2 linked regions of the Daphnia pulex genome follow. The protein of the gene in region 1 interacts with the protein of each later gene in a biochemical or structural test. Links are inferred from orthologs where the notes say so. Each region holds a gene or a part of one and is shown on either strand. Other genes may lie near its edges.

The links.
Region 2: the proteins of tight junction protein ZO-1-like (region 1) and irregular chiasm C-roughest protein-like form a complex in vitro, tested with the Homo sapiens proteins (3 studies listed by BioGRID and IntAct, with this or other methods). The link is inferred for Daphnia pulex from reciprocal best matches to the Homo sapiens genes TJP1 and KIRREL1.

Annotation. Positions count from the first base shown.
Region 1 is NC_060024.1:10,103,881-10,118,740, reverse strand, and holds the end of tight junction protein ZO-1-like, read right to left. Parts: coding exon 14,721-14,860; intron 14,214-14,720; coding exon 14,042-14,213; intron 13,966-14,041; coding exon 13,722-13,965; intron 13,432-13,721; coding exon 13,387-13,431; intron 13,141-13,386; coding exon 12,966-13,140; intron 12,055-12,965; coding exon 11,716-12,054; intron 11,633-11,715; coding exon 11,018-11,632; intron 10,908-11,017; coding exon 10,681-10,907; intron 10,112-10,680; coding exon 9,720-10,111; intron 9,545-9,719; coding exon 9,235-9,544; intron 8,861-9,234; coding exon 8,544-8,860; intron 8,367-8,543; coding exon 8,089-8,366; 3' UTR 7,805-8,088; downstream 1-7,804. Other genes in the region: cleavage stimulation factor subunit 2-like, read right to left, coding at 1,052-1,202, 1,270-1,348, 1,430-1,445; methionine synthase reductase-like, read left to right, coding at 4,836-4,979, 5,053-5,096, 5,162-5,720, 5,785-5,922, 5,992-6,252, 6,321-6,557, 6,625-6,798, 6,869-7,080 and 2 more. UniProt on the Homo sapiens protein: TJP1, TJP2, and TJP3 are closely related scaffolding proteins that link tight junction (TJ) transmembrane proteins such as claudins, junctional adhesion molecules, and occludin to the actin cytoskeleton.
Region 2 is NC_060022.1:5,898,910-5,914,594, reverse strand, and holds the start of irregular chiasm C-roughest protein-like, read left to right. Parts: upstream 1-6,612; 5' UTR 6,613-7,321; intron 7,322-15,685. UniProt on the Homo sapiens protein: Required for proper function of the glomerular filtration barrier. It is involved in the maintenance of a stable podocyte architecture with interdigitating foot processes connected by specialized cell-cell junctions, known as the slit diaphragm.

The sequences.
Region 1 (14,860 bases):
ATGAAATCAATAAATTGGGTGAGCACGCTGATTTAACCAAAAACCATTGGTTAGGGCGGATCGACAACAGCATCTAGACAGTAGTGTGTGTTGGTACTTGGTAGTCATGGTAAACCACTAAAGCCTTGAATCAAATAAAGAGTTTATAGCTAAGGAAAGTGGACACTATCAAACACGTGGACCAGCAAAGCAATGCAACATAAATTGCTATTAACGTCTCGCCTCACTAGTTTTAACCTGGCTAACATCTTCCTTATACAAACACTGGTGTAAAGACGTTTTACGGACTTACTCGCTAACAGAGATTCTATTCAGTGTTTTTCGACACATTCTTTAAAGCAAATTTCCTTAAAACGCACGCAACTTTTAACCTGTTGGGGAAGCTTTACGTTTTCTATCACTTTACGCCATGTTTGGTGTTTTACCAGATAACCTGTTCAACATGTTGCTTCACTATCCAAAGAAAATTATCGTTACTTTCTCTACTTGCCCTATTTCCGAACTAGACAAGCACTGAAGCTAAATTTCAAATTTTTCTACTCACCTACTGAATAACAGAAGGGCACTAACGATAAGATTTGCTTATGCATTGGCTTTGAACTAACTTCTAAATCTAGCTAGATTCACAGGAAACTTTAATTATACGACATTGCCTCGTTTATTATGCGGGTATGGAAACCGAACAAGAAGTAAGCATGTGAGAATGTTGAACTGGACCACGTGTAGCCAAAAATTTTCCGTACACTAAGGATTTAACCACGTTAAGCCAATCTTAACTGTCAATTAAACCCTCATAACCAAATCCAAGCCACGTCAGAGAAAAAGGGACAAAACTAACCATCTGAAGAATTATGAAATTATCTCAATAGAAAATGGATAAAAATGAAGTGGACAGTTGGGATGCCAATTGGACATTAAAACTGCAAAGGGACAGAAAAAGAATTGATTTATTGGATCCTTTTTAAACATTGTTTCTTGATCTTAATAGAAATGGAGACGCAGCATGGAAAGCAGAGCAATCTTCTGTGGTGCAGTTGACTCGCAAGTGCAATTACTTTCGGTTGGCAGAGTCAACTCGCAGACTTCTGCCATTGAGCTCATAGCCATTGAGGTTTCTCATGGCAGTCTGAGCAGAGTCTGGGCTCTGGAATTCACAGAAGCCAAAACCCCTGGAACGACCAGTTTCGCGATCTTGGACAATCCTAAATTTAATTCAAACACAATATAAATAATGTTTCTACAATCACATCAGTAAGAGCATTTCATTACCTGAATGAGACCACGGGGCCGGCCTCGCTGAAAATGGCCTTAAGCTGATCTTCAGAGACGCCATAAGGAATGTTACCAACTAAATAAAAATATACAAGATGACGATGGCACACAATACAAATGCAATGACAAGAAAGACCAGGTTAAAATATAAACTTACCGAATACTGATGCCATTGTTGATTGGGATTTTAAGACTTCAAGACTTGAAAGAGACAAAGACGAGGAGTGCTACTCTGCGTGGATAGAACGGTTGTGGGAAAGAAGCATAGAAACCACGCCGAAAATTGACAAAAAAAAATGACAGGAAACCACGACGCTGCCAGATGTTTTCATTGATCTTGTAAACAATACTCAATTAAACATAAAATACGAGAAGTTCTTTGATTTTCACAACGTATTCTATTAATTTTTAAATTTAACTTCTTAATTTTCAGTATTTTAACTTTTCTTTATGGTTTTGTATCTTAAATTTGATTTAATTTAAGTGACTTGGCTCAAACATGGCGTCCAAATTTCCGAATACAATATTTAAAAATCTGATATACTAGTAAGTTTTAGTATTCCATTAAATCAGAAATATTTCTTTAATTAATTTACTTAATTTATTAAAATGTAATTGAACTATGCAAATTAAATAAATAAATATAAAACAAAACGACTTTTGAGTCATCTAGTGAGAGATTTTGAAACAACTAGCATACATAGCGGGAGGATTTGAAAATGACTGTCTAATTCATCAACATTGACTAGGGGGGACAGTGATAGGTGGTAAAGTTTTTTATCACTACTTTCTGTCTTAGTTTAAAAATGGTAGTTTCTGAACATCTATTTCTGATAATAAGCAACGACAAAATGAAAATTTAATAAATATTTTAGAGAAGAATTTGTAGAATTATTTTGATTCTGCCACATTTAGCACTGAAATGCACGATTCTTACATTACTCTAAAAATATAACTCAGAAGTGCATCACGAGCATATAAACTTATCGTGGATAAATATAGGTAAGCACCTTGGTAAGCACGGGCGAGCACAGGTAAGTATTAACAAACCGACGTTTAAAAGAAGTTAGGTCGCATCCAATCGATTCCCATCGTCCGTAATAAAAGGGAAAAGATGCCGATATCCCGTGAATAAGATAATTTCCGTTTCATGATGTTAACTTTGGTCAAGTGAAATCTACCATCTGGATCGAAAGAGACCACACTTTAATTTTTTAAACAAGTTATTGAACCCATAAACTTGGTTCTAGACACCAAATTTTGTACAGACAACAGGCGATATCTCGAATAAAAAAATTCCACCAAAGACTAGAAGACTCGACGAACTGCTCAGCATCACGAAAATCGTGGCTGTGAAAAATTCGTCTGGAAATTCGTTCAATGCCCTCAAAAATAAGGGGCGAGGGGCGTGTGTAGAAAAGTGACTTGTGGAAACGATGACGTAGCAGCCAAATGGGTGGATATCAACATTCCCTCACTCTCCAAAGTTTTTGATCGATATCGAGTGCTTACACAACGAACGAACGTCACAAACTCTGCCATGGTCTAAATTTGTAGTCACGTGCGGAAATGTTTGTGGGTGAAATTCGAAAAAAAACAAACAAAACAGATAGAGTCAAGTATTGATTTTTTTTTAAATGCTAGTTTAGTGTATATTCAGCAAATTCATAAAATATTTTCCATGCGACCTACATCATAATTTGTCAAACTTGGCGCACCAGGTGAAATTCCGATAAGCAATCCTAACCGAGTAGCTCAGCTTCTCTAAGCGGAATTTTACATTTTTCTTCCTAGTTGTCAGACTAACTCTGCCATAACTAAGAACTAAAGGCGCATGTAAATCAGGGGCGAGTGTGATTAATATGACGTCCCATGGCGGTCTCATTTATAACTGGAAGATCGCGGCGAACGAAAGAAATATTTCAAATTCCATTTTGCAGTTGAATTTATTTTTAAACGCTCGGAAGTCTAATAATTCTTCCCGCATACAGAAAAGAGATCGCGTGGCTTTTACAATTCCATCCAAGCGGACAAAGTAGGTTTTTGTAAATTTATACCAGCCTTCCAATGTGGTCCTTCGTGACTTATCTACCTTACAATCCATTCAAATTGCTTCTACGTGCATGTATAAATAACCGAGTTTGACGGGATGGTGAATCATTTTTGGGCCAAGCGCGGTGGGAAGAGAACGGTTCTTCTTTAGATATTTAATGTTTCGTGTGTTTCTTAAGATGAGCTTTACCTGGGTATTATTACATTCTTACTTTATTGATACAGACTTTCCTTTTTTATACAAACTAGTCACGCGAAGAACATAATCATACTAACACACACTTCGTGCCGTTGTGTCGAGTTTTATGCGAAAGCTTTACAGGCGGATCTGGCATTCATACGTTATTGATGATATTGATACGTAATATGGTGGTATTCTGTAAAGAAAAATCAAGCAATCATCCGACGCATCGTAAATAACCAATGAGATCCTTAAACGTTTTCCAACCTCTGCTGGCCAAAAAGAGATTTTAGCATAAATCGTGTTCTTTCTCACTCCCTTTATTTCTATATGAGCAAAATTCGAATGGGAGGGATTTCGAGGAAATTTCCAGTGAGATTTCAAAAAGACTTTCGCAGCCAAAGAACCGTATATGTCGGCAAGCTTTATTGTGCTTCTGCATTCGCTTCGGTGGTAGAAGTTAAAGAAAAAAAAAACATATCGCGCATACTATCTCGGTAATAACTAGAGAAGACCCCGACTTACAAACAACAGTCATAAATTCAAGGTTAGCCAAAAGTCAGGGAACTCGTAAAAATAGTAGAAAGAAAAAGAGAAACATTGAAAAAGAGGGACCATTCTTCCAGCCATTCTTTATCACGCAACATGAATGGGCGATGCTCTCGGAATTTGCTTTTCACCGCGTCTGGTAATATAGCGGCACAATACCGGGAATAGCGTTCTCTCATTTGAGCAAGCTATTTCTCCAGCATCAACACGCCTCTATAAACCAAACCGTAATTGGTTGTACTTGCCGGTACTAAGAAAAGCGGCCGTTCATTTTCTTTTGGTACAGGAAATGCGTGTACAGCCTCTTATTGCAACTATTAAGGTCAAATGTAATTAGGAATTTTAATCTTTTGAATTAACCCGAATTTAACGACTGGATTAAATTCAGGTTTTTGCTTATAAGGTATACAAATCATTTCTTAGATTCAGACGATAGTTAAAATAATATGGACACGCAGTAGTAAGAGCGATTGCACATTACCTTATTCCTTTAACGACTTCTCACGTGAGCGATCAACTTGTTGTCTCTTCCCACGACATTACACGGTTCAGGGGAAAACAGATTTTCCGTTACATCCTTGAGAAATCACCCAAATGAATGCAGATTTCGTTTTGTATAAAATTATATCGATTTCAATTAATTCGTTTTACGAAAATGCGCAGCACGACTGAATTGACAACTGGAAACTTAGCAGACGACAAAATTTGTGTTACACGACTACACGTGTCATAGGAGTGTGATAAGTTACATTAGAAATTTTCGAACCAATGTTCATGTAAAATGACTCTACAAAGGTGTAATTTGTTGTTGATCTATGGATCACAAACTGGGCAAGCAAAGTCGATTGCAGAAGACATTAAAGCGAAGGCTGAAAGCCAGAATTACGATGTTGAAATGTTGTCCATGGACGAATCAGTGGAAAAGGTTTGTTGTCATAGCTGTTTTCAAATTGTTAGTTGACAATAATAATTCAACATATTATGGTTGTCTATTTCAGATGCCATGGAAGGATTTTAGATTTGTCATCTTTATTACATCATCGTAAGACCCTTTGTTTACATTAATTGAATGTCTTTTCATGTGTTACATAACAGAACTCCTCTTAGGACTGGTGATGGAGATCCTCCTGAAAATGCATGCATATTTTGGAGAAAGATTCGTTCGAAAGACTTGAACGAAGACTATTTGAAACATTTAGAATATGCTTTACTCGGATTGGGTGATACAAACTACACAACTTTCTTGGGCTATCCTAAAAGCGTTGAGAAACAGCTTCAAAAGCTTGGAGCCAAGCAGTTTTACAAGTCTGCTTGGGCAGATGATGCAGTAGGACTGGAGATTGTGGTTGATCCTTGGATTGAAAACTTATGGCCTGCTCTGGAAAACCAATTGGCTCATCCACATACATTACCTGATCTAGTTTCAGTTGTCAAAGTTCAAACAGAGTCTCCCAATACCAATATTCCAGAAGTTAAAATTATTTCAAAGGTTGATGATCAACCATTGGCAATGCCCGTCCAGAAAGAAGTAGAAGAAGAGTTGGAAAAATGTGTTGTTGCATTAGCTAGTTTGAAAGTGTCTGTATCCCCACTTAGTGAATGTGATTTAAAAGTTCCATTACTTCCAGTGTCTTATTTGGAACTGAAATTCAATGCTGAACTGATGGTGAGTTTAATATTTCTTATTTTTAGAAAAGTTATGAAGTAATATAAATTTTTTTTCTCCTTAGTTTTTCCCTGAAGATGTCTTGCGAAAGCCAATGCCTTCTTCCAGAAGCGCTGTGTTTCAAGCTAGAATTAAAAGTCTTAAAAAACTTACTGGGGAAAAAGCTTTGAAAACAACTTTGCAAGCTACGTTAGAATTCTGTGTAAAGTATCCTTGCTTCTCCTTTTCATTTACGATGAAATATGCCAACTAACTCGTACGATTCATCTAGCCAGCTGAAATTGAATACCAGCCAGGGGATTCTATTGGAGTTTGTTGCGCAAACAGCGCTGAAGAAGTGGATTCGCTTCTTCGTCGATTAAACATGATCGAGCAAGCCGATACACCATTCAAATTGAGAATCAAGGAAGAATTTGCTGCGCTCAAATCCGGTGCCAAACCCAAGTACGAAGTCCCGTCTCATTTACCGACCTTAGCTACCCTACGATTTGTATTGACTCGCTGTTGTGAGATACGAAGTGTACCGCGTAAAGTATGCGATAATTCATTTCTATTTTACCACTTGAATGTTTGCAAATGATCTTTTGGCTTTTCATTTAGTCTCTTGTCCGAATTCTTGCCGAATACTCATCAAATGAGCTTGAAAAACGTCGTCTTATGGAACTATGCAGTCTTCAAGGGTCTGACGATTATACTCGTCTTGTCCGTCAGCCCGAACTCAATGTTTTAGATTTTCTCAATACCTTCCCATCGTGCAATCCGCCAATCGAACGTCTACTGGAACAGTTGCCTCGTCTGTTAGCCCGACCTTATTCGCTCAGCTCGTCGCCATTACAAGTGAGGGATTTGATTTAAAAGAATTTCGAGTCTTTATTAATCTTGATTGTTTCTTGTTCCACTCTAGGATTCCAAATCTGCTAGTTTTGTGTTCAATGTTGTCGAATTCCCCATTCAAGACGGCCGTACCTACGAAAGGAAGGGCGTAGCAACTGGTGAATTGTATCGGATGTTTGATAAAATGAAGAACACTGATTCAGCTGAAAGTGGCGCTTCAAACTCTAGTTGTCGGGAATATTCCGTAAGTGGGGTTATCTCGATTCACTTTGTCTTCGTCACCACTTCTTTGTATTTATTTTTTTCATGTTCAGCTCTCCATATTCTTGAGATCCAGCAACGGATTCTGCTTGCCCAAGAGCTCTGAAACCCCTTTGATTCTCATTGGACCTGGCACAGGAGTGGCGCCTTTCTTAGGGTTCTTAGCTCACAGAGAAGAGCTCTTGAAATCGAACCCAAACCTCCCGTGCGGACCTGTTTGGCTCTTCTATGGTTGCAGGACCAGAGATCAAGATTACCTCTTCAAGTACGTTTTGTTGTCCCCCTCCGTGCGTAGTCAACGCTCGATTTTTGTTTTTCATTCTTCAAAAATGTTTCTCTCTTGTGTCACGCGTTTAGGAATGAGCTGGAGAGGTGGCATTCGATAGGGATCCTCACGAGATTGCTCGTGACTTTCTCCAGGGAAGCTAATCCTCCCCAACCGAAATATGTCCAGGTATATATATAGCATTACCAGTTAATAATAAGCTGTTTAGTCATCGTTTGCGTGTTGCTTGGTATTAAAAGATTACTTGCGCATTATAGGATTTGATTCGACAGTACACGACTCCGCTGGTGAAGTTGATTGAAAAGGGGGCTTGCATTTACGTTTGTGGTGATGCCAAAAACATGGCCAAAGATGTTATGCAGGCTTTAATCTCTGCATTCCAGACTGCGCGCCAAATGGAGGAGGAAGAAGCCAAAAAGGCAGTCATTCAACTCCAAATAGAAAAGCGATATTTGCAAGATATCTGGACTTGAAAAGTTCATTTGAAGCCAATTTTTTTTTCTCTATTTGACTAGTTGACATCTTAAGTAGCTCTTTTCCTTTCTCTCGCTTGTTTTCCAACCACCCAATGACTCGTCAGTCAAGTTGCGTTCCCCTTCTTGACGATAAAATGACTACGGCAGCTTTCGATGAACCAAATACTTTCTTCTCTCGTTACGGCCAGACGATTGCGATATCATAGAAAATGTTACGTCTACTAATGTCAGACGAAGGACACGTATATTTTTCTTGGACACACTCACAAAACACACAAAATAACTAAAAATTGGAACTGTACAGTTACATACAGTGAGAAGAAAGACGTTGAAGCCTAATTAAAATTTAAAACTGGTTGTCGACATAGAGAATCCATTATTATTATTATTTTTATTTAGTTTTGTAATAGAAAGATTAAGTGAGAAATGAAAGAGAGCGAGAGAGAAAGGTGGTGCGACGAAAAGGAGAGAAAAGAGAGCGTGTGGCGTTGTTGTTTTTAACTTTTGGTTTTCAGAAATGATCGACGAAAACGGAGAGGTGGTTTCGAGAATTTTTGGCGTCGTCCAATTGCTCCGATTGAGCTCGTTGTTCGTGATCGTCGTTGCCTCGCTGGGGTAGTTCAATTTGTCGCCACTGTCCCAATTCGTTGGAAGCTTTCAGAGAAACGTTCCACCTGCCAGACGAATTCGCTCGAGATCCGCCATCGTGCGGAATGCGGAGCTCGACGGGCTGGAGGAAGCGCAGACCTTTCGGTCCGCACTGAACTAGTGGACTAAGTAAAGCTTCACCTGTTTTGATTCAAATCAAATCAAATGCAATGGTTAGATAATGAATCACGACTGTTGCAACAACTGAAATCGCAAATAAACAATTGTGAATGTGGTTAATGCGGGTAGAAACGGAAGCACAAGGTGAAAGTGACTCATTGTTTGCCGTGTGTCAGTGGACCGAGAGTGATTGTATACCTTTTCCGTCGTCTAAAGGAACGCCGTTGGTGTCAAGCTGACGCTGGTCTTGGCGACAGACCTTGAAGTAGACGAGGTGAGCTGCCGGGCCCGGAGGGAGAGCTCTAGGCGGTACGAGCAGTGCCACTCCGGTTTCGACACTCTCCAGCCGCCCTCCATGGTCGTGCGTGAGCCATCCGCGTACGGTGGCAATCACCGAGCAGTTGGGTGGAGGAGGGGATGTGGGAGGGGAGTAGTAATCGTCATGATGATAGTGGTGGTAGTAGTCGTAAGGCGAAGAGGAGAATCCATCACCGTCATAGTACTCGTAGTCGAGCCTATATAGATATGTATAGCACAGAGACATGGTAGCAGAGAAAGAAGATTCCAAAAGTTGTTGGCAGACCCAACATTCAGCAGAGCTTATTAGAGTGTTACATGAGCTTAATTTTGTCTGAGCCAAGAGCGCGAGTGCTTGTTATCCGAGAGACTCGTTCAATCCGAATCAATTAAGGAAAGGAAAGAAATAGAAACCGAGCCCACACCAAATGAAAAACAACCAAAAATAACCACGCCAAAGAGAAATGTTTTTTGTTGTTGTTGTCTACGAACAATGTCGACCGCAAAGTGCGTTGCACATTGTCCATAAAAAAAAGAAGAAACAAAAGATGCGGGTGCTGTGGCGAGGATATAAGGCCGAGTGTTGTTTTACCTGGCGTTGTGCTCCATGTAGAGTGGCTGGTGCCCGTGAGCGGGAGATCGAGGATCGGCGGGTTTCTTGTACAGTTCAAAGGCCGATCCGCGTTGATCCCGGTGTTGGGCAAGATCTAGCCGCCCACCATCTCTCGATTGATGTTGTTGCTGGTGCTTCTGGTTGTTCTCCCTGGGCGGTGGGATGTTGTAGTAGTACTGTCCGGCTTCGTTGTTGCGGTTGGATCCGTTGACGGGCGGCGGTGGAGGCGGGGCTTTGCCGTAGAGCGAATTGGCTCCGTAACTGTGACGATCCAAACTGCTTCCATGACCTGCTTGTAAAAGAAAAAAGAAGAAAATCGTTTCGTATAAAGTCACGGGTCATCGTTTCACTTGTCAGCCGCAGCGAAATAGGGGGGATAGTTAAGAAAAAAGAAGGAAACTTGACGGATGGATGGATGAGCTGCAAGAGGTTTCATTGCGATGAGAGTTTGAATAATTCAATACCTGAATCAAAGCCGCCGTTGGTATCATCTTCGTAACGGTAGGAATTGATACCGTTGTGAATGGCCGACGCTGTATTGGACGACGGAGGGCCGTGTGAATAATAGCCGTGATGGTTGTTGGCTCCGCCAGAGGAAGGAGGAACATCTCCTCCGCTGCTTCCGCCGCCGCCGCCACCACCACCACCACCACCTGCTGGCCTGTTTGGATGATTCAAAGTGCCCGGTGGACTGTGATTCCAGTAGTTACTGTTGGGTGTCATCGGTTGTTGGTTGTTGGAGGCTGTCGAAGACGAGGCGTTCGCCGGCGGTCGGTAGTTTTTCGGCTTGGGCGGAGGGACGGGCTTGTAAGGTGCGGACTTGGGTGGAGGTGATTGCTTTTTGTGGTCGAAGGGACTAAGAGAATATAATAATAATAACACACACACACGGTAAATAAAAATAAAAGAAAGAAAACAAAACAAACAATCAACAACTCAAAAGAAATCATAAAAATAACCGAAAGAAACGAACGAAATTTAAATAAAGTAAAAGGGAAGAAACCAAACACGCGATAAAGTTCTAATGGGATTTACAAGGACGCGCCACACGAACGACGGCCATTCTATTCTCATCTACTGATTAACGACGTGTAAAAAAAAAAACACACACAAAACAAAACAAAAAGAATCCCGAACAAAAGAATAACAACAACAACAACACGATCACACGAGACTCAGGTTTGGACTTTGTCGCCGCCGGTACCGTTTAACCGAACGAGGTCTCATTGGCAATCTAATGTTTCAAATGAATGGATTTTTGTGTGTGTTTCTTTCTTTGCGGGACTTTGTGCGGTGCGGATTAGACAGGCCTATATATTTCTATCCTTATATCTCTTCGACTCCCGAAAAAATGTTATTCCTAGCGCTAATATTTTGCTCCTCATCTTTTATATTTCTGACGGTTGAATAATCTCAGCCACTTACCGATGAAGTTGTTTCGTCGCCGGTGACGTGAGCTCGGTCGGCGAACGCACGGGTTGACTGGTTGAGCGAGTGTAGCGGTAAGGATCGTGAGATTTGAGGCCTGCAGAAGTGGGCGAGCCTGGCATGGCATTAACATCTCCGCCGCTTTGATGGTTATTCCCGGCCAGAGTTAATGTCAGCCCAAGTCGGTTGTAAGACTCGTACGATGACGAGCTGTCGTAACTCCCCTGAAACCATAGGACGGACCAAAAATAGAAAAGAGAGAAAAGGAGATGGATCGACGGGTTATTGGCTATTTCTTCTTTTGTCTTGCTTCGAAGCCATCGATATGTCTTACCGCTTTGGCAGCTCTCTCTCTATCCAGGGAACTGCCTCGCAGGGAGCCCAGGTAGTCGTGAGATTGATGAGGTCCTCCGTTGGAAGAGCCCTGGCCCGGCTGGCCTGGAGCCGGTCCTGGCGGCGACGTGGGATACGTATCGATATCCAGACCATTGATGTCGCCCTCTCGAGAGCCAAACAGCCGCTCCTGGGCGGAGCGTGCCAGTTGTCGGTTTGACGGTTTGCTACTCCGATCGATTTTCGGTGGCAACTCAACGACGCCCGATGATGATGGACCGTGACTACTGCCACCGTTGCTTCCGCCGCCACCGTATTTGGAATAAGGCGAGAAATGATGTTGTTGCTGCTGCTGTTGCTGCTGCTGGGACGTCGGGTAACCACCAGACGACCTCGACTGATGGGGTCCGTTGATGTAGTCGAGATTGGTGCTGGCCTGTTGGCTCCCGCGCGACGACGGGCTGTTATAAGAGTAATTGGGCGGTTGGCCGCCGTAGTTTCGCGGAGTGTTGGGGTCCCTCTGCGATGGATGATGGCCATTGCCCGGCGATGAAAATCCGTACTTGGAATCGCCGCCTTGAGATCGGCGTTTGGTCGGCGTTGACGAATCCACCACCTGTGTGATCAACCAATTCACATTTACAACCAAGATCCGATGGAATCGATCCATCGATTGGAAAGAGGATTGATTGTACTTACAGAATGAGAATTGATGGGAGACTGGAATTTGCTTGGACTCAACGACTTCAAAAGTGCACCGGGACTGCTCATTCCGGAGACACCCAGATCATCCTGAGTGGCGATGCTGGGGTCACTGGAGCTCTTGACCAATCGGCCACCGGAACTGGGCGACGGCGGAGATTTGCCACCTGCTCCGCCGTTGACCCCGTTGGTTTTGGAAGAAGAACCTTCAGCACCGCTAGCGCCGCCGGAAGCACGCGGCTCGGGCGACAAATCGAGATCCGACTCTGGCGAAGATGCGTAAGAAAGGCGCGACGTCATCGGGAAGAGGAAATCATCCGAGAGGTATTCATCCAGCTGGATCCGGCCGATGAACGACGACAGATTGTTGTTGAAATAAGCGCGGAAAGCGGCCACAAAAGCGGATGGGGGGAAAACGACATCAACGACACACACAAACACAAAAGACAGAATTTCTTTGGTTAGAAAAAAAGAAACACGGAATTTAAAAAATATAAGCACACAAATTTCCTGGTTGACTGGGAACCCTGACGGCCTGACGAAGACGATGCACAACGGACCGAAGCGACGAACAATTCAATATCTCTTAAGTTTTTTGAAATTTTTTAACGGGTGGGGGGTTGCGGGCAGACGGGGACGACGGAAATAAAGATTTGGTTGTTGTTACAAGAAATGATTGAATAGCGACTCTTCATGGATGACGGACAACGGCCGTCGAGCCATCACTTTAAGGGGCGCGTAATTGTTGTTGTTGCTGTTGAAATTGACGTCATCAACAACCACTTGATAGTAGGACGCTGTTGGGTCGAACGGCGAGATGGAGGGCGGGACGGGCGGCGGATAAAACGACGGCGGATCGCTGCAGCCCATGCCGCCGATATTGTTGTTGTGATTTAAATGACTCAGCAACGCATCCGTGGGCAAATCGACCAACTGGCGCAAAGAATGGACCCGGACACCCACACAGACACACCCCAAAAATTTGGTATCAAATAGCTCGTTATTAGGACTGGAATGAATAAGAAGCGGCACAAGACGGCCCCCGTCGTGATTTTTTTAAGAATTTCATTTTAAAAAGAAAAAAATGAAAAAAGAAAAGACGACGGGGTGTTACTTGCACGCTCGGGTGCCGCTGGAGATTTTCCCGAAATGATATCCCATAAAAACGGTCGAAAAAAAAAACTAAACTCCGAAATTGAAGCTGCTGCTGCTGCTCTATGGCTAATAATAACAATAACAATAATCACCTTGGCTTCCGAGACCCAGATGGCTTGATTCTGTTCACGGTCGATGGCCTCACGAAGCTTTCGGTACCAGGTGTCACGCTGCGTTAGCGGAACTGTCGTCGTAAAGACGTGCGACCAGAGTTTCTCCAATTTGACGCATTGCTCGTATAATTTCTTGCTGCTCTTGTGGGCCGTCCTAGTAGAATGGAAATAAATCAATAAAAACATCAAAGGCGTTAGTAATTTTCTGCAACGTTTCCATCGGCTAGAGTTAGTTTTTTAAAAAAATAGCGCGGGAATTGTAAAAAGCGTCCGAGACCCCCCACAACACACGGGAAACACCGAGAGAGACGCAGACAAGTTGGCTTTTGGTTGGTTTTTTGGATGAGTAGCACAGCAGTTGGCTGGAATGTGTTGACTTGGCCAGCAATGGGCGACTTACCACTTGAAGAATTCTTCGAGCCGGGGAGCCAGGCCAGCCAGAGTGCTGACATTTCAAACAACAACACAATGGATCATTGCAACCAGACAAAAAATAATAATTTCCATAATGCAAGAAAAAGAGAAAAAAACCAACAACATGACTGGAAAAATGAAAAAAACTACAAAAAAGGCATGCACGCTCTAGGCATGTAGAAATAGTATATCGATAGGTAAGATACTACTGGCTGCTAGATATATGTATAATGTGATGCATATCTATGCACTGCAGTATGCAGAAATGTGCATTGTGTGCGGATGGCACGGCATGGCACTAGTGCTGAATTATTTATTTACTTTGGTATTCCGGCGCGGAGCTCCTTGACTGTGTGTTTCGAATCGGCCCGCAAAAAGATGACAACCGGATAAAACTGAGCATAGTTGAGCTTGTCCACGGCGCCGGGGGTGATGTCCAGTAAAGCGTGTCGACCTTTCTCCACCAGTTCACGAATAGCGCTCAAGCGGACGATGCCAGAACGTCCAGTCGCCACAGGAGCGCCCGTTCCGGACCCTTCGGCCGAGTCCCGATTTCCGTCCATTTCTAAAAAAAAATTTCAAAATTATGAAAATGCAAAGATTTACTTGACATTTTTTTGAAAAAAAAAGGTAGAACTTACGAGGTGCAGAGAATTTGTCAGGGAAATCCTTGATGAGTTTGTCCCTGGCGACATCGGCAATGGGACCGAAAAAGACGACGGGTCGGATGAACCCTGGATGCCGAAGAACGACACGCTCGTAAGCCGGGAATTTGCTGAGTGTCTCTGCAAAGACGACGTCATCCCAGTGATCCTGAAACGTGAAAGAAAAGGACAAGAAAAAGAAAAACATAAGCCACACAGACATATCATCACCAGTGTTGAAAGCATCAACTATTTATAAGCATCATTAGCATCAGAAAAGGGGGGAATAGGAGAAAGATGATGGATGTGCCGTATCGCACGTTCCTTCAATTGACAAAAGGCTCACGATTTTTTCGTTTCCTCTTTTCAACGTGAAAAGAGAGAGAAACATTAGTCCCCGCAAAGAAGAAGAAGAAAAGGGAACCGGTTACGTGTGTCGCTTTGAGGACGAGCGCCAAAAAGAAAAGAAATTTTTTCTTTCTTGTGGAAACCCGCAGTGGTGTGTTGTAAAGAGGCGTGTCGGGAGTCGTGACCGCACCAAGCATTTCTTATTAAATTTGTTCTTTTTATTTTTTGGTTCATTTTTAAAAGTATTTCTCGGGATAAGAGCCCGTAAAAGAGCTCTAGAAAAGAGCAAGGTGTGAATTTCAGTCGAAAAATACAAGTGCATTCTCACCCTTCCTAGAGACTTTGAACGGCGGTGAGTGGGTCGCCTTCGCCGGAAGAAGGAACCGCGTGACTCGGATGTCGTCGTGGCCGCTTCCTTTTTGGCGGCGTTGAATTGAGCCGTGGCTAATTCCTCGGCTCCCGCGCTGT
Region 2 (15,685 bases), on another chromosome or scaffold:
CAGCGTCGTGACAGGCAACACGAAACCCGAATCCGTCTTATGCAGATCTCCCTTCCCAACAAACCAACAGCTCCCACACCGCTGTCTATACTCTGGTTCTTTTTTTATTTTATTATTTTCCACCTGAAACATTGGTGGTAGGTGTACGACTGTGCACAAGACAAGAGAGAGGAGAGAAAAAGAGATACACAGACGTAACCCCCGAGTGGTTCTTTCTTCTCTCTTATCCAGGTAAGCACGAAATAAAAACCAAGAGCTCCAGCAACAACCCCGAAGAAAAACTAACAGGCCTGTGGGAAGAAGCTGCTGCCTTTTTTTATACACGTAATACTTCTTCTCCTTCCATATATATACTGCGTATCGTCTGTCTTTTGCTTACCTCTCTAATATGGTGGACGCAAACATCAGACGATGACGACAGATAAGAAGAAAAAAAGCGCCATCGACTCTTTCGGTTGCCCCCCGTTCGCTTAGAACTTTTGCCCACCACAGTTTCTTCTGTGTTGTTGTGTGCTGGGAAGAAGGGGCTGGATGCTGCCAGTGCTGTAGTGTACAAGACATCTTTTTGCCTTTTGACTCGTCTTCTTTGAACAACAAGAGAGTTCCAAAGAGAATATAAAAGAAACGAGGAAGCAGTTGACATATCGCTCCGGCTCTTAGTACTCCTTTAAAAAGCCATTAGAGATTTATCGCCCGACGTTCCCTTGATTCTTTTTTTCCTTTTCCTTTCTCCACTGGAATAGTTGTTGCCTTTGGTTGTCTCTCTCTCTCTCTCTCTCTTGCTTCTTTTCTTCCTTTTGTCAAGGCGCGCCGTTGCGAAATCAAGAAGAATGGGACGCCCAGGAATATATGGGTGGGACGGCGCGGGCACGGGTTGTTACCCGATGAGAGCGACGATTTGTGGTTTGGTGGACGACGCGCTGGTGAACGATATCTCCGGCGTCCATCTCTTATTCGCTCCTCTCCTGATTTCCAGCGCTGAGATGCTGCTGCTGTTGCTGTTGTTGTTGTTGTCTCTCCCACGGCTACCATCGTTCGTCATCGGGTTCAAATCGCCAAGCGTTATTTATTCACGATCGAAACGCGTAGGCGAAAAAAGAAAACGAAACAAAAAGTTGGGCTGATGGACGATGCCATATCCTGCATTCTGCATTATCCTTCTAAAACATCTCGGCGCCCGTTTTTTCGAAACTTACATCAAAGATACACAACGAATTTACTGCCGTTGGTAACGTTCCAAAACTCTCCAAATGGAGCGATTGAAATTTTCAAAATCCAGCTGAAAATAGAAACGTCGCCCTGGACAGATAAGTACGCAGCGATTGTCCGTCCAGGCTTCTTTTTTTTTTTACCTTTGGGGGAAATTGTCCACCGGAGAAGCCTGAATGATTAAATTCCGCTGGTGGGCGGAAGTAAGGAGACAAATGCGGAATCAAAGAATGCGGGTCGATATCCATCGTGTGCTGTGTACATTGTATTTATATATACTCAAACGGTGCTCGTTATATTGTACTGTGGGTATAGAGAGATGGATATCTAATCGCAGCCGAAAAACTTTAGCCCTTTTCCCTTGATGGGCGCCTCATCTCTTTGGCATCGGTTTTGGCTGGTCAGCCGGAGCGACTGCTGGTGTAGTAGTAGTACTAGGTCTTTTGTTAGAGCGATGCGCGCAGCGATGAGATCTTTGACTTGTGATATGTCAAATTGTGCGTGCATTTGGGCGCTGATGAGACTTAAGAGCCTTTGGACTCTCGGAATCTTGGACATGGATCTTGTTTGGAGGGTGGTTCCAGAGGGGGGGGGCTTTTTTTATTTTTCCTCCTACGACTAAAGAACCCCCCCAAAATATCCCCCGCGTTCTTTAGAGATTTTTAAAGATGCTAGTCTCTCCTGTATTTGGTAAGATGGTCGACAAAGAATTTGGGGGTGAAGGCTTATAGCCTATTAAGCAGCCCAACTTCCACGTTAGTGTGTATGTGTAGTAGTGCACACAGCTGACGAATAACGCGCGGAAACTTGTAGGAGGAGGCGTGCGGAGTGTACGCGTTTCCGTGTGCCGAGTTGTAAGTAAATACCAGAAGAAAAAGAAGATAAGAAATAAAGTTTGAATTGAAAATAAATTCACTCGTTTTAATTTCTGCCCGCCGTGCCCGGGATCCAGCAGCCGAGGACTGGCGGGGTTGTTCTCTCTCTCTCTCTCGCTCTTCGCTCGTCTTCACGCCGTTTCAATTCCAATCACGACCAGCCGACCATGAAGAAACGAATCGAGTGATTTCTTCAAAAAGAAAACTGAACTGAAACGAAAAAGGAGGAAAAGAGAAAAAGAGAAAAAGAAAAAAATAAGAAAACGCAGAAGGGCCGGGAAATTAAGGAAACGTTGGCGTTTGAACGGGACCCAATTACCTCACAACTCATTTTCGACTGTTGAACCCGGGATTTTTTTCTTTTTTTTTTTTCAAGTAAGGAAAGGAGAAAGAAAGAAAGTAAAATAATAAAAAAAAAGATGAAGAAAAATAGATATAAAAGGCAATTTTTCCAAGCATTCGGCCGTTCGGGTCCTTGGCGAAGGCCAGAAGAAGAGGAGAGATGACTAAATATGGAGGCCAATCAGAAGCGATTTCGATCAGTTTCACTGTGCGCATTTCGAGGCAAGAGAACGAAAAAAAAAATAATTCGAATCAAATAATCAAAAATACACTCACAAATTTTCGGTAGAGATATAGAAAGATGATGATGAAGTCATTTGACTATTTTCGTTCACTTATTCACGCCCCTCGGCTTATAGAAACTGAAAGCTCAATCGTCTTGTCGTTTCTTTTTTCTTTCCTTTCTTTCTTTTAAGGACCTGTTGTCTTGTGGCCCATTACAAGCTATTAAGCGTCTGCATGTAATATTCATGCAAGCTCGTCATTTTGGGTTGCCTTCGCCATCCCTGCAAGTTTGGCGGCCTTGTCGGCGGCAATTTCAACACTTGCGCAGAGAAGCGAAACGGAACGAACCAAAAAAAAAGTTCTACCCTCCAAAAAAAAGTTCGTTACGTTTCGGATTGTTTTTCCAGAGCTTGCTGTGCTGGCCAGCGCAGCATTATATCCAGTTGTGTGTTACTCGTTTCCTCTACTTTTCCTTTCACGGATCGCAATGGATGATTCAGAGGACCGACGCCTATGTTACAAGCCTGGGTACCAGAAAGAAAAAAAAAAGTTTCCTTTTTTTTGTTTGTTTTATTTTTTTTTCTTATTCTTCTCTGGGGGATTCGGTTGAATAATAATCACGCGGAGGCCAATGTTTTCCCCTTATCCCGACTTTGCTAAGTAGACGAGTCGACTGGTAATGCGGCTGTGCTGCTGGTCGTGCTGTGTACTGGGGTTGCAGTGTGGGCTCGAGCGACTGGCAAGAGTTTTTGGGAAAATAGTTGGCTGCCAGCTCGTTAAGACCGACGACTACACTCATTAGCAATATATTTGCTAAGCAAAGAGAACAGAGAGAGAGAGAGAACAGGGGGGCCAACTCGGAGAAAAGGGGAAAATAAAAAGAATCGAGAGAAAAGAAGAAGAAGAAGAAGTACATATATTATTATCTAGCTTCTCGTTTTGTGCATGTATATAGTATATACACCTTTCAAAGTTTCCAAAGAAAAATAGGAAAAAAAAAGCTGGGGCAGCTCAGCAACCGCTCCGAATCGTTTCTCTCACTGCTGTTTCGGTTTTCTCTCTCCAGACTCTTTGGCATTTTCACAAGTTCCACGAAACTCCTCTGCGTACCTCATATATAGACACTGGCTGGCTGGTGGCTGGTTGCTGGCTGGGCAGATACAACGGAGTCCAGCCATATAGATACTGCGAAAATCTTTTGTTGGGGCTGTTGTTACTTGAAAGTTGATGCTGCTGCGCCCAGCTCTCCAGCAACATCAACCGCCAGAGTTTGTTGTATTTATACACTCAGACACACAGAGAGAGAGAATCCCCAAACTCTTGGGTTCGCTTCTTAATGTCTGTATATCGCAATACCAAATATCCGGAAAAGCTTTTGTAATAGGAAAACGTTATTGTTCCGTGCGTTACAGTTGTTACACGGGCGTCTGCATAGAAGGCGCTCGGCGTGTGTGTGTTAATTCCGCTGTTCGTGAGAACAAACCGAGGAAGCAGCAACCAGAAACTTTGGTGGTGAAAGTACTAGCAGTTGCCATCGGTGAATATGAATATACATACTACTTATACTATGTATAAACACTTGTTTTGAGTTCGATTATAACGACTTTTGGCGTGTGCTGTTGTAAATACAAAAGCGCTGTGCTTTGCACAGATGATTCTGTAATGGAGATGCTTTTACACGGGATCTAGAAGGCTTGTAACAGCATTCAATCTGACGGATCCATCAGTTTCTCTATACTTTTCTCTCTGCTTACCCTCTGTGTGTGTGTGTGTGTGCGGAGCTGGGCGGCAGCATGTGGCGTCCGTCTTTATTGTTATTCCTCATCTCTCTCTCTGTGTAACAGCGCTAGAAATTCACGGCGAAGCTTTTACAGATGATGTGTGGCGTCTTTACCGGTGAAGAGTTACCTCTCTCTCTTTCCCGAGGCATTTGCCCATCTCTTCTTCACTTTGTTGTTGTTGTTGTTGTTGTTGAGTCCGATGTGTTTGTTACTCCCGCAACTGTACGAAAACCAGAGAGAGAGAGAGAGAAACGAGACGGGAAGATGATGTGCCGCCGCCAAAAAGTTTTCGACTCGCGTTTGGACTTCACGCTGAGGTGCAGTGGAGAGCAGCGGTCCTGTACGTTGCGTCGTTGGCTCTGGTGTTGATGCGTTTCTTCTTCTTCTTCTTTTTCTCCCTTTCGCGTGTGTGTGTGTGTGTTGAATTGTCTGGCGGGCCGAATCTGATCGGTTGATTATGCAAAGCCTTTGGAGGAAGAGCGAAAGACGAATCAGAAAAAAAAAATAAAAATAAAATAAGAAGAAGAAGAAGAATCACCTAAGGGTAGAGAAGAAGGAGAAACGAAACCGCAGAGCTGCCACGAAATAAACAGCCACAGCCCACAGGACACGAAAAATTTCGGGAAACAGAAAACCCCGATGACAAAAAGAAGGGGGGACGGTGAAAAACGTCGGGGCTGTCTGCTCTGTGCCTGTCTGCCTACACATATTATAACATTTTCTATCGTACATAATAGTTTGGAAAAAAGAGACTATACACACACACACAAACCAAACCCGATATCGCATGCATGTATTTTATCCGATCAGATATCCAATACATCAACTCCCCAATTTTTCGTCGGTTGAGCCTTTTATTTATTTTTATTTTTCTCTCTTTTTTCTCTTTGCCCTCAATTTATTGAGGTCGACCGATGGAGGGAGGAAATTGTGTTTGTTCAAAACGTTGGCGTTCGGTTGACTCTCGGCGGGTCGGGTCCCGTTTTTTTCTTTTTTTCTATTTTTATTTTCTCCTTTTATTTTGAAATCGTTTGTGTGTCCCGGCTCTCATTTTTTGTCCTTAACGTGTCCAGCACCGGGGGTCTAATCTCTCCTTTTTCCCCTTTGTTTGTTAATGATTTATAATGAAATATTTTTATGGCCACTCGATGGATATTTTTTTTTCACCCGAAAAAAAAATAAGAACGGCGACGACCAGTTCGTTTAATCGTGGCGCGTTTACGATTCAAAAAAATAAACTTTCTCGCTGACCCGAAGACTTTGTGTATAGAGAAACCGAAAGAAAAAATTTCATTTTCATATAATATTTTAAAAAAAGAAGAAGATTTTTCTGCTTCAGACTTTGGTTTCGTAAAGTCTCTCACCGTAGATAACGAGTTGTTTTCTTCTAAAACGTTCGAATTTTTATGCTACCACATGGCGATTTGAATATACTCTGTGGATACGTGTGCGTCGATGAATTCCCTCCCATTATTTCTCTCTCTCTCGTCGCTTTGCTACGTAATATGCAAATGCCGCAAAAAAAAAAAGTTTAAAAAGACATTCTTTTGAAAAAGGAGAAAAAGAAAAAAAAAGTGTTGGGGGCTTTGATTTGAATATTTTAGTCGTTTTCAAATTGTTGAAAAAGAATAAACAAATTTTTCTATCTCTATTTCAGTGTGCGTTCCTTCAAGGTCGTCTTTCTGCCTTCTTCTTCTTCTTCTTTCTCCTTTGATCCGCACCACGCCTCCCGGAGTTTCCCGGAGTGTAGGTATACATATACCCTTTCTATGCAATCACGTGCAGTATTACACTTTCTTACCTAACCCATAGGCTTGCGCAAAAAAAAAAAATGTTACTTTCCAGACTAAAAAGATTTTCATCCATCGTACAATTTTCTTGGTGCACATGTTCATATTGCAGAGCTCAAGGATCTGCTGTGCTGGAATGCGAGAGAGAGTCTAGCGCAGTTTTCTTCTTTTTTAGTTGTTATCCGTGGTTGTTACGTATGCCAAGGGGGGCATACGGGTTAGCACGGTGGGTGGAGAGAGATATAGACCGCATTGAAAAGGTAGAGAGAGATACACACCACCACCACCATTGCTGCAAGAGAAAAAGAAAAAAAACGTGGTAGGTAGGTGGGAGGTGGTACGGAGGGGTTGGGCTATGAACACACACACACACACACTGCATGGTGTGTGTGTGTGTGTGAGGGGGGTTGAGGGGCGACCGTAGGGACCAGCGTGCTCAGAAGCGAGCCGGCTGTCAGGCGTTGCGGTGCTTATTTCTTGCTGCTCCGTGAATCTCTGTTTTGTTTCCAATCTGCTACTGCTGCTGCTGCATCACCCCCACTCGTTTTGATTTCATTTTGAAAATCAGCGGAATCTACACGCAGTTTTTGGCGTCATCCAATCAGGCTTAACTTTAACGTCGTCTGCTGTGGTTCAGTTTGGGCGTTTGGGATTGATTGAGCTGCACACGACCACGTTTTTGGATTTTGGCAAGCCCCTTCGTGCAGTGTTGTTTTCATTGGTTTTTTTCTCACTTGAACGCGGGATACTTTTTGCACCAGTGTTGAGTGATCGTGTTTGTCTCTATCGGATAAAACTTTCGTGTCAACGGCTAATAAATCAGAAAAAAATACGAGGGTTTAAACTTACATCGAGTAAGCAGTGCTTGGTTGTCGAAAAAAACAACAAAGAGACAAGGATCTTTTTTTGATTTCCCTCCAATTGTTGGCCCTGACTTTTCTGCACGCGTTTTCCTGTTTGAAATTACAACCAGAAAAACACCCAACAACAAGACACTCGAGTGCAATCAGGATCTGTTTGTTTCGCCCATTTTCAACCACATGGAACTACTTGGCTATGAATGAGGAGCCGTCGTCGACACAGTGAACAACAACAACAAGTGAGTTTCTTTTGACATTTCTTCTGACTTTTTTAAGACTGCAACTCCAGGATGCTCGTATCTATTTTTTAGTAGTCTAAGGCCATTAACTATTGGGCAGTTGCCCACACACACATATACCCTTTTGAATGTTGTACAATCCCTGAATCTCTTGGAGAAACAAAACTTGACATATCGGATGTCGGATGTGACGGGAAGGTGGGCAAAGGTCGTCAAGGTAATGGCTAACAAGTGGATAACTGGCAGAAAAGAAAGAGCGTGTGTGTGTGTGTGTCTGTAATGTAGAAGCTCTTTGGCTTTTTGTCTTGATATTGAGTCGCATCATCCGAGTGCTGGTGGGTAGTGGAAATCTACCGGGTTTAGAACCAAGTGGACCGTTGCCCAGTCACTTTGACCCGCTGCAGCGTTCGACGAGCCCAACCCAAATGTACTTACTTATAACGAGCTTTTCGTAAAGTGGCTTGCCTTTTTCTGTTTGTTTTTTTTTTTTGCCCGTTATTGTGTGGGGCTGACGCCAAAGAGACCAAACAACCCACTCGCCGTGACTCTTGATAGGATAGTGTCAAGTGACAGTCGGACTAGCGTAGGAAAGTGGGGGGGAAGTCGCAAAGGTATCGAAAACAAATGTCACAATTTTATTGGATTTTTATCCTTTTTTTGCTTTTTCCCCCAACGCCAAAAAAAGGGGTTGACGTAATCGAGTCTATAGTTTTATATTAAGCCAACCAGATGATGGAAGTCAAAGAAGAAAGAAGATCCAACATATTATTTTTATAACTCTTCTGGTCGCCTTTCCCCTCTCCTAGGGTCTAATTGCGAGCGACTACCGAAGTCGCCCAAGTTTCATTCTATCTCTCTGTTCTATCTATATAGTCTACATATACATGCACATAGCCACCATCAAAAGAGAAGGGGGCCAGGGGGAGAAAAAGAAGGACAAATATTTTTTTAAATAAATAAAAAAAATAAAAATTTAATGTTAAGAGAGCAGCCAGGAGAACTTGAGCTTTGCAACCCTACAAGAGCCTTATACGAAGTCCCGTCACCTTTCTCTCTCTTTTTCCAAGGGGTCGAACCATTCCCCCAAAACATCGGCGTCGTTGGACGTCGTCATCCCCCCTCCCTCCATCCACCTTGTCTGCGTCCAAAGCCAATTTAAAGGCCGTCCGTGTGTGTTTGCCTACGTGTAGTTAGAGCTCGGTTACTTTGGTCTTTTTCTTATTACACCGTGAGCGCACGAGTCTCACTGTCTCTCACTATGAAGAAACAAAAGAGAAACGGGGGAGGAAAAACAACAACAACAAGCTTCAAACGCGAGGGCAAAAGGGGGACAGCACGAATATCGAACAACAACAACAACAAAAAAGCTCGAACGGGACAATGTTAGTCGACTTTAGCCGAGCTTGATCCAACACTAGGCCTTTTCTTTCGTGTGTGTGTGTCTTGTGTTTTCGGGATTGGGATTCGTTCAGTTTTTGTTTGTTTCATATTTTCCGCCCGTCTGTGGGCTGCCGAGGCGTCGGGAGATAAGAGCTGGATGAAAGGTGTCCACACGAGAATGAAAAAAAAGAAAAAGAATTTAGATTTCTTTTGCTATCGGGACGGATGACGTGTTTTGGCCAATCTCTTTCTCTCTCTCTCCTTTTTTTTCTTCTGGAAAAATAGTCACGCAGGAACGCAGCAAGGGCTACAACAAAGGAAGACAAGACGAGGAATAGGGCGTGATGGTGTAGTAATCGATATATCGACCACGAAATGGTGAGGTTTAGGGACGAGCAGAGCCGTTTTCTTCGGTGCCAGTTGACAGACAGACAGACACACACAGATAAGACGTATAGGTGAGGTGACACAGAGAGCTGTGCAGCTGCATCAAGGATGAAGGAAAAGCGGTCGTCAAGGATGACATGTTGACTAGCAATCTAGAAAAGCCGTTGAATCTACCCAGAGTTGTTGCCGAGATTTCAACCGTGCATGCTGGATTGTGTCTGGTTGGTCCAGCTCAGCTCAGCGTGACTGGAGTCACTTGCTTTTCTTGTTTAAATTAAATTTTTATTTGTTTTTTTTTTTGGCGAAGGTGACAACTTTTTCTTCCCCACTCCACCGCGCGTATTTGATTCGCTATTAATGAACTCGTCCACGATGCTCCCGGTCGTGTGCTCGTTTTTCTCTTGCAAACCGATCGATCCGCCCGTCCATTGAATCGGCTCCGAGTGATTGAATCCTTCAGCCATCCGTAAACCGCAGCGATATCTGACTATAGGCGTTGTAGGTTTCTTTTTGGCGCCAAATGAATCCATAAACGTCCGCTTGGCTTTTGTTTCGTTTCATGTGTTATATGTAACTCCTTTTTTTTCTTTCTTTTTGAAATTTTTTCTTTTGCCTCCCTCCTTCTCTCTTGGTAACGATCGTGTTTTGCACGAGACTGCACGCACGATGCCCTCCCCATCGAAAACCGGGCGATTATTTACGCGAGCGTGATATGTAAATCACTGGGGCTGGCCCATCAATCAATACGCGTGGCGGCGGATATACGAACGAAAAAAGATCCCTCGGGCTAAGCAACGCAAACGTTAGTGTAATCTAACGAGCAGCAGCATTTCTTCTTTCATTCGTCGTCCTTTACCCATCCAGTCCTCTCCTTCTCTACTCTACCGAATCGGAGCGTGGAATTATTATGATTATTATTGCGGGACCCCTTTTGGTGTAAAGACGTTTTCCCGCACACTGGGAGGTGCCGCTCGCTCGGCCCGCATTCATTTACTCTTTGATGCAGCAAGTAGTCTTCTCTCGCCAACTTTTTCTTTCCTTTTTTTTGGGGAAGAATTCTGTTTAAATGAAATTTCCTGGGGCTTTGATTCGCTCGAGTCACCCATCTCTCTCCCAAGCGGGATTAGTACATTATTCCGGGAAAAATCCAGCTTCTATAGGAACGTTCTTTAGCGGGTCGAACAACGTCCCACAAACTGTGCAGCACAGACAGACACAGAATCCCCTTGGTTTTGTTTCTTATTTGATTTTGTCTTTTTTGCGCAAATTATTGGCGACGTGTGCCAAACACGAAATGCATCGCGCGTCGTTTTATCCTTCACGATGGGAGGTCCCCGAAGAGAGGATGGCAGACAACAACAAGTTTTCTCTTCTTTATTTCGAAATTGTCGGACCGCTGATGAATAAATAATCGGATGAATAAAAAGAAAACGGTTATGAGCCAATGACGAGGGGCGTCGAGAAAACTATTCGACTTTTTGTTTTTTGGTTACATTGTGTCTTTGGTTGGAGTTTGTTGATCTCGAGTCAACTTTTTGGCATCGCGTTTTGTCTCTTTTAGTTTTTTTCATTTCTTTTAAATCTTTAATATGAAAATGAAAAAATCAAATGTTTATGTTTTGGTTTCAATTCAGAGAGAAACTCGCACAACTAGTCGCAAAATATGAGGTCGAGCGTTCGATATATAAAAAAAAAAAAGACTTTGGAAACGAAATCATAAAAAGAATAAACCGTTGCGATGTTGTTGTTGTTGTTGTTGAATTGTTGATGATGGGATGACCCACCTTTGGAGGATCTCAGTGGATCACAGCAGCGCCGTTCTCAGCAGCCTCCTCGCCGGCTCTCGTCTTGGCTCGTTGGAATCGTTGGGTTCTGCGCTTGTTAATAACGAAACATGGAGGAGAGAGAGCGAGCGAGCATCAGAAACGCTTGATATTTTTTAATTACATCGTGGACCTTTCGTGACCCGCTCCACATCCCCGTCCTCTTGGTACCGTCGTAAACGTTTGGATGTCCTACAGCTGTTGAAACGATCGACGCCATAGAAAAGAAACTGTCGAGAAATTTTTCTTTTTTAGAAAAAAGGAGAAAAAAAAGTTTTGTTGACCGACAGAAGCAAAACATTTTGATGGTGCCAGGAAGAATTTCCTTCTAGCTTTTGTGTTTTTCTGTTATTTTTAGACTGTCTCGAGAGAGAGAGAAAAGGGCAGTAGCAGCAGCAGTCGGGACGGACTAGTAAAAGAAGAGCAAGAGTCCGAGCGAGCTTGTCGGAATTCGAGAGATGAATAAACCTCGACGACTAAACTATTGAGAGACGGCATATGAAAGTAGTAGACTTGTTCTTTTTTTTTCCCTTCCAGTTATGGCTTTCAGAATTGTTTGGCGTAGTCGGTAGTAGCAAGCGCAGCAAGTTATAGAAGGGTCCTCTCTTGTTTCGACCTTTTTTCAAATCACCTGGCCGTGAGCGAGAAACGTCAAGGTGAACCCACACATGCCTACTCGTCTCGGCCATTCTTCTATATATATTCTGCCCGGTCAAATTTGTCCGTTCAACGACAGAAAAAAACAAACAAACAAGAACACACGTCCCGAGACTCGAAAGAAAAGATCCTGGCCGTGCTCTTATATTCCTAGTGGGAGTACCGAAAAGAAAAGAAAAAAAAACAAAAACAAATGGCTCCGGTACGGTTTTCTTATATTTTCTCGAGAGAGAGAGAGCCGCGTCATCATCATCATCATAACAGTCATCACGGGGGCCCATTGGTCTTTCGTACCTCCGTTGTGTCTGGGCTGAAGGAGAAACAAGCGACGCCGCCGCCGCTGCTGCTGCTGCTGCTGCGCTCTACTCTGGCTCTGTTTTACCATTCGTGGAGATAATGAGCGTAATCAAAACTTGTTGTAGTGAGAGCAACTCTCTTCTCTTCTCTCCTTGTGTGTTTGTACGGAGAGCTTCTTTTTCTTACCTTTTTACCTTTATTTGAAGGAAAAAGAATCTCGACTGCGCTCGAAATGTGTAAGTAGCAAAGCGCACACGGAGGTTTCAACAATTACCCGATGCGCATTCTAATCATCTCTGTTGTTGCAAGTCGTTCTCTCTCTGTATACGTCGACTTTCCCCCGGCGTCATCTTGAGAGACCAGAACCATCCGAAGACGAGTTGGGATGATGATTGAATCGTCTAACATCCAATTTCTCTCACACATTCTAAATTGTTCAACTTCTTTGTCTCTCGCAGTCTCAGCTGAGTGATATGAGTGGAGGGGGTTGGTCCGCCATTTTGATCGTGTTATGCACACTTGTACACACACATCGTTTTGCCTCTTTTTTTTCTTTTCTTCTCTCTGGCTTTTCTTGTTTTCTTGTTGTTTTCTTGTGTTATTTGTTGACGTGAGAGAGGGGGGGGGGGAAGGACGAGCGTGATGACCTCATTTTCGTACATTACATTTAGGAAAATGGCGCCGGGGCCCGTTACGTGTGTGTGATGGGTTTATGATTCACGCACGGGTCACGTCCATCAGCGTTTGAGTTGAGCCGAAGCGCTCAGATTATATTTGGTCGCCCTGATGGACTTGTGTGTGTGTAGACCTGAGGAGGGGAGGGCGTTTTGATGATCGACCGATATGCCTCAACAACGAGCAGCAGTGATAGCAAGCAGCTCGTACTTACGTACAGCTCACGAAAGGGCTTTTGACGGCACTGCTTTTGGCTTGTCGTCAATGGTTCGGCGGTACTTAATTCTCGGCTGCGCCTTGCACGAATTGACGTATTTATTTATCTCTCCCGATCCGGTCGCAGTTGCACGAAATGATTGAGAGAGAACCAAAGACTATGGGGCGCGCGATTCTCATTAAAAATGAGACCAGGCGTGCTTGCACTCCCTGCGCCAATAAGTTTTCTATTGGGTGGTAGACGGTGTGGAGGGGGGTGTCTATAAACGCACATATAAAGTCACACACACGACGGAAAAGCTTCTCCCACCCACCCCCTTTTGCCTCCTCTTAAGACTCCCGGCGCTAGTAATATGTTCAGTCTAGCGTGATTCTCCGTGCGGACCGTGAACTCTTCACCCCCTCTTGGCGAAGATGCGGAAAGAAAATGAAACGAAATAAGAGAAAGAATTTTTTTATTATTTATTTATTTATTTTCGTTCGCTCGCCCTCTTGAGCCCCCCAAAAATCATTGTAATAGTTTTTTCTCTTTTCCCTTTTTTTATTTTTCTGTGAGACACATTCGATATTACCTTGCGAGCTTTCTAGTGCGACACGGACGACACGTTGCCATCCACTCGTCCGTTGTTGTCGTCTGGTCCCGAGACGCGAGAAGAAATGAAAAGGGCACAAGAAGCAAAATACAATATCCGCTCGGCTCGTTCTCTACTATCTATCTCTTCAGTTCTCTCTCTTTTTCTCTAGTGTACAGCTTTTTTTTCTCTTTATCTCTTATATATCTCTTATATATCCTCGTGTCATGGCCGACACATGACACAATTGTACACCGGCTCACTACTATTGGCGTCGGATTTTTTCTTTCTTTCCCGGCATCCAGCAGTAGTAGCCTCTTCTCTTGATTCTAGACTCATTTGCGCCCCATCTGGTCGCAACTTGTTTTCCTGAAGGAGGAAGGAGACACTTGGCTTCCTGGTAAACCCCCTCCGTCGTTTGAGTTGTCCTTTTTTTTTTGTGTGTCGTTTGTTTATTTTTCCTTCGTCAATCACTCCCGGGGACATGATAAAAATATAAAAAAGAAAGTTGTATTTATTTATTTTGATGGAGAAATATTATTACATATTCGCTCTGTGTGTTCTGTTTGTCGCTCGGGTTTGTGGACGGGATCAGCTCATATAGATTTGGAGATTTTTATATCCATTTTTGTTGTTGACGGACTGACGGTTGGACCTCCCAACTGGTTACGACCTTTTTTCTTCTTCTTTCCCCCTAAAAAAATCTCTCGACGGCCATCATCGCAACATTTAAAAAGACGTCTCCTCTCTCCTCCGTCTGGTTCAAACTCCCTACATAACGGAGCTGCTAGAGTCTCGGGCCGTCGTAGAACTATTTCCCTCTTCCATTTTTCCGCTGCCGAGCGTGTTGTGTCGGTTGCGTTCCCTTTTGATTGCTGCCAGCGCAGTGCCGTAGGTCTTTCTTTTTCATCATCTTGACGGTAACCACCTTCCTCCTTGTTTTGTTTTTTTTTCTTTTTCTTCTTTACGGACGGCCACATGATGAAGTGGAGCTCCCCCCCTGGTACCTGACAACTCCAGCAACAGCAGCAACAACAACAGCCCAAATAAAAGAAAGTAGTTGTCGACGGTATAGGCTGGAGATGTACGGGAGGGTAAAAACATAATGAGAGGTAGTAGTACATACTTATGAGCACATAGACCCAGCGGAGGGAAATCAAAATACGAAGTCGAAGACGAACAAGAAGGGAGAGGAATATTATTAAGTGGTTTGTGGGGTCGAAAGTTGTCTCTTCTCTCTTGTGCTGATGTCACTCTTTCGAGTGTCACCGCAACTTATTTTTTTTCCCCTTCTCTCCTCCAAGAGACAAGAGGGATACTTACTCGTCTGTGGAAATAAGAAAGAAACACAGACATTATGACACGAAAACGGCGACAGTTGGCTATTAACACCCAGTTTCTCTCTCGCGTCTGTGTGACTGCGACCAATCGCGCTAATGCCCCGTCATTTGCATCACCCCCCTCTCTCTCTCTCTACACTTTTTTTGAATTAGAAAAATTTCGAAAGGTTCCCATTCTTTTGTTGAATGTTGTGTGTGTGCGTAATATTTGTCTCCTCCCGGGCAACCGGCAACCCCCCAAAAAGAAAAGAGCAGTGGCTTTTTCTTGACTGTTTTTCATGGCGTTATAAAGAGAGCGTTAAGAAAGTGATCGAGATTCGCCCCGCACTTTCTTAGACGCAACAAAAGGTCTCACTGCGGGGCTCCTGCCATCGGCTCGTTCAGCTACTAGACCCAATGAGCTAAGAATGTTTACAGACTCTACATATTTCTTTTCTTTTTAAAACCAAATAACCTTCCAACTGCTGCAGTCTAGTATTTAGTGGCGTTCTTTCGCTCTTGTTTCTTTCTTTCTTTTCTGATATAAAAATAACTCTTCTGGTCGTTTTAAATCAAGCCAAGAAGAAGAAGAAGGAGAAGGAAGAAAAAAAAAGGTCGTAATTATCTTCGTCTCGAGGCTGGCGCTTGGGCAATTAGTTGTCTCTGGGAGAAGGATAAAAGGTTGAAAAGGGCTTCCAATCAACAGCTCTCTTTTGAGAGATTCTTTGTGTTTTCTTGTGTTCGTTCGTTCGTTCGTTCGTTCGTCCTTGCACTGCTGCTGCTACTGCTAGTGCTGGTGCAGCAGCAGCTCATCCTCGCCAACTATTTATCTACTCGTAGGGAGTCGTAGCTCGTAAAATACAAAGCAACAAGGTAAACCGGTGTGTGTGTGTGTGTGTGTGTGTTGGTGGTGCTGTCGGTGAAAGGGGGCAATGAGCATGAGGTAGGTGGAAAGCCAAAGGAGGAGAGAGAGAGAGGTGGAGGCAGCATGAAGATGAAGAACGAGGAAGAGTGTTGAAACTAACTGGCGAAAGAAAG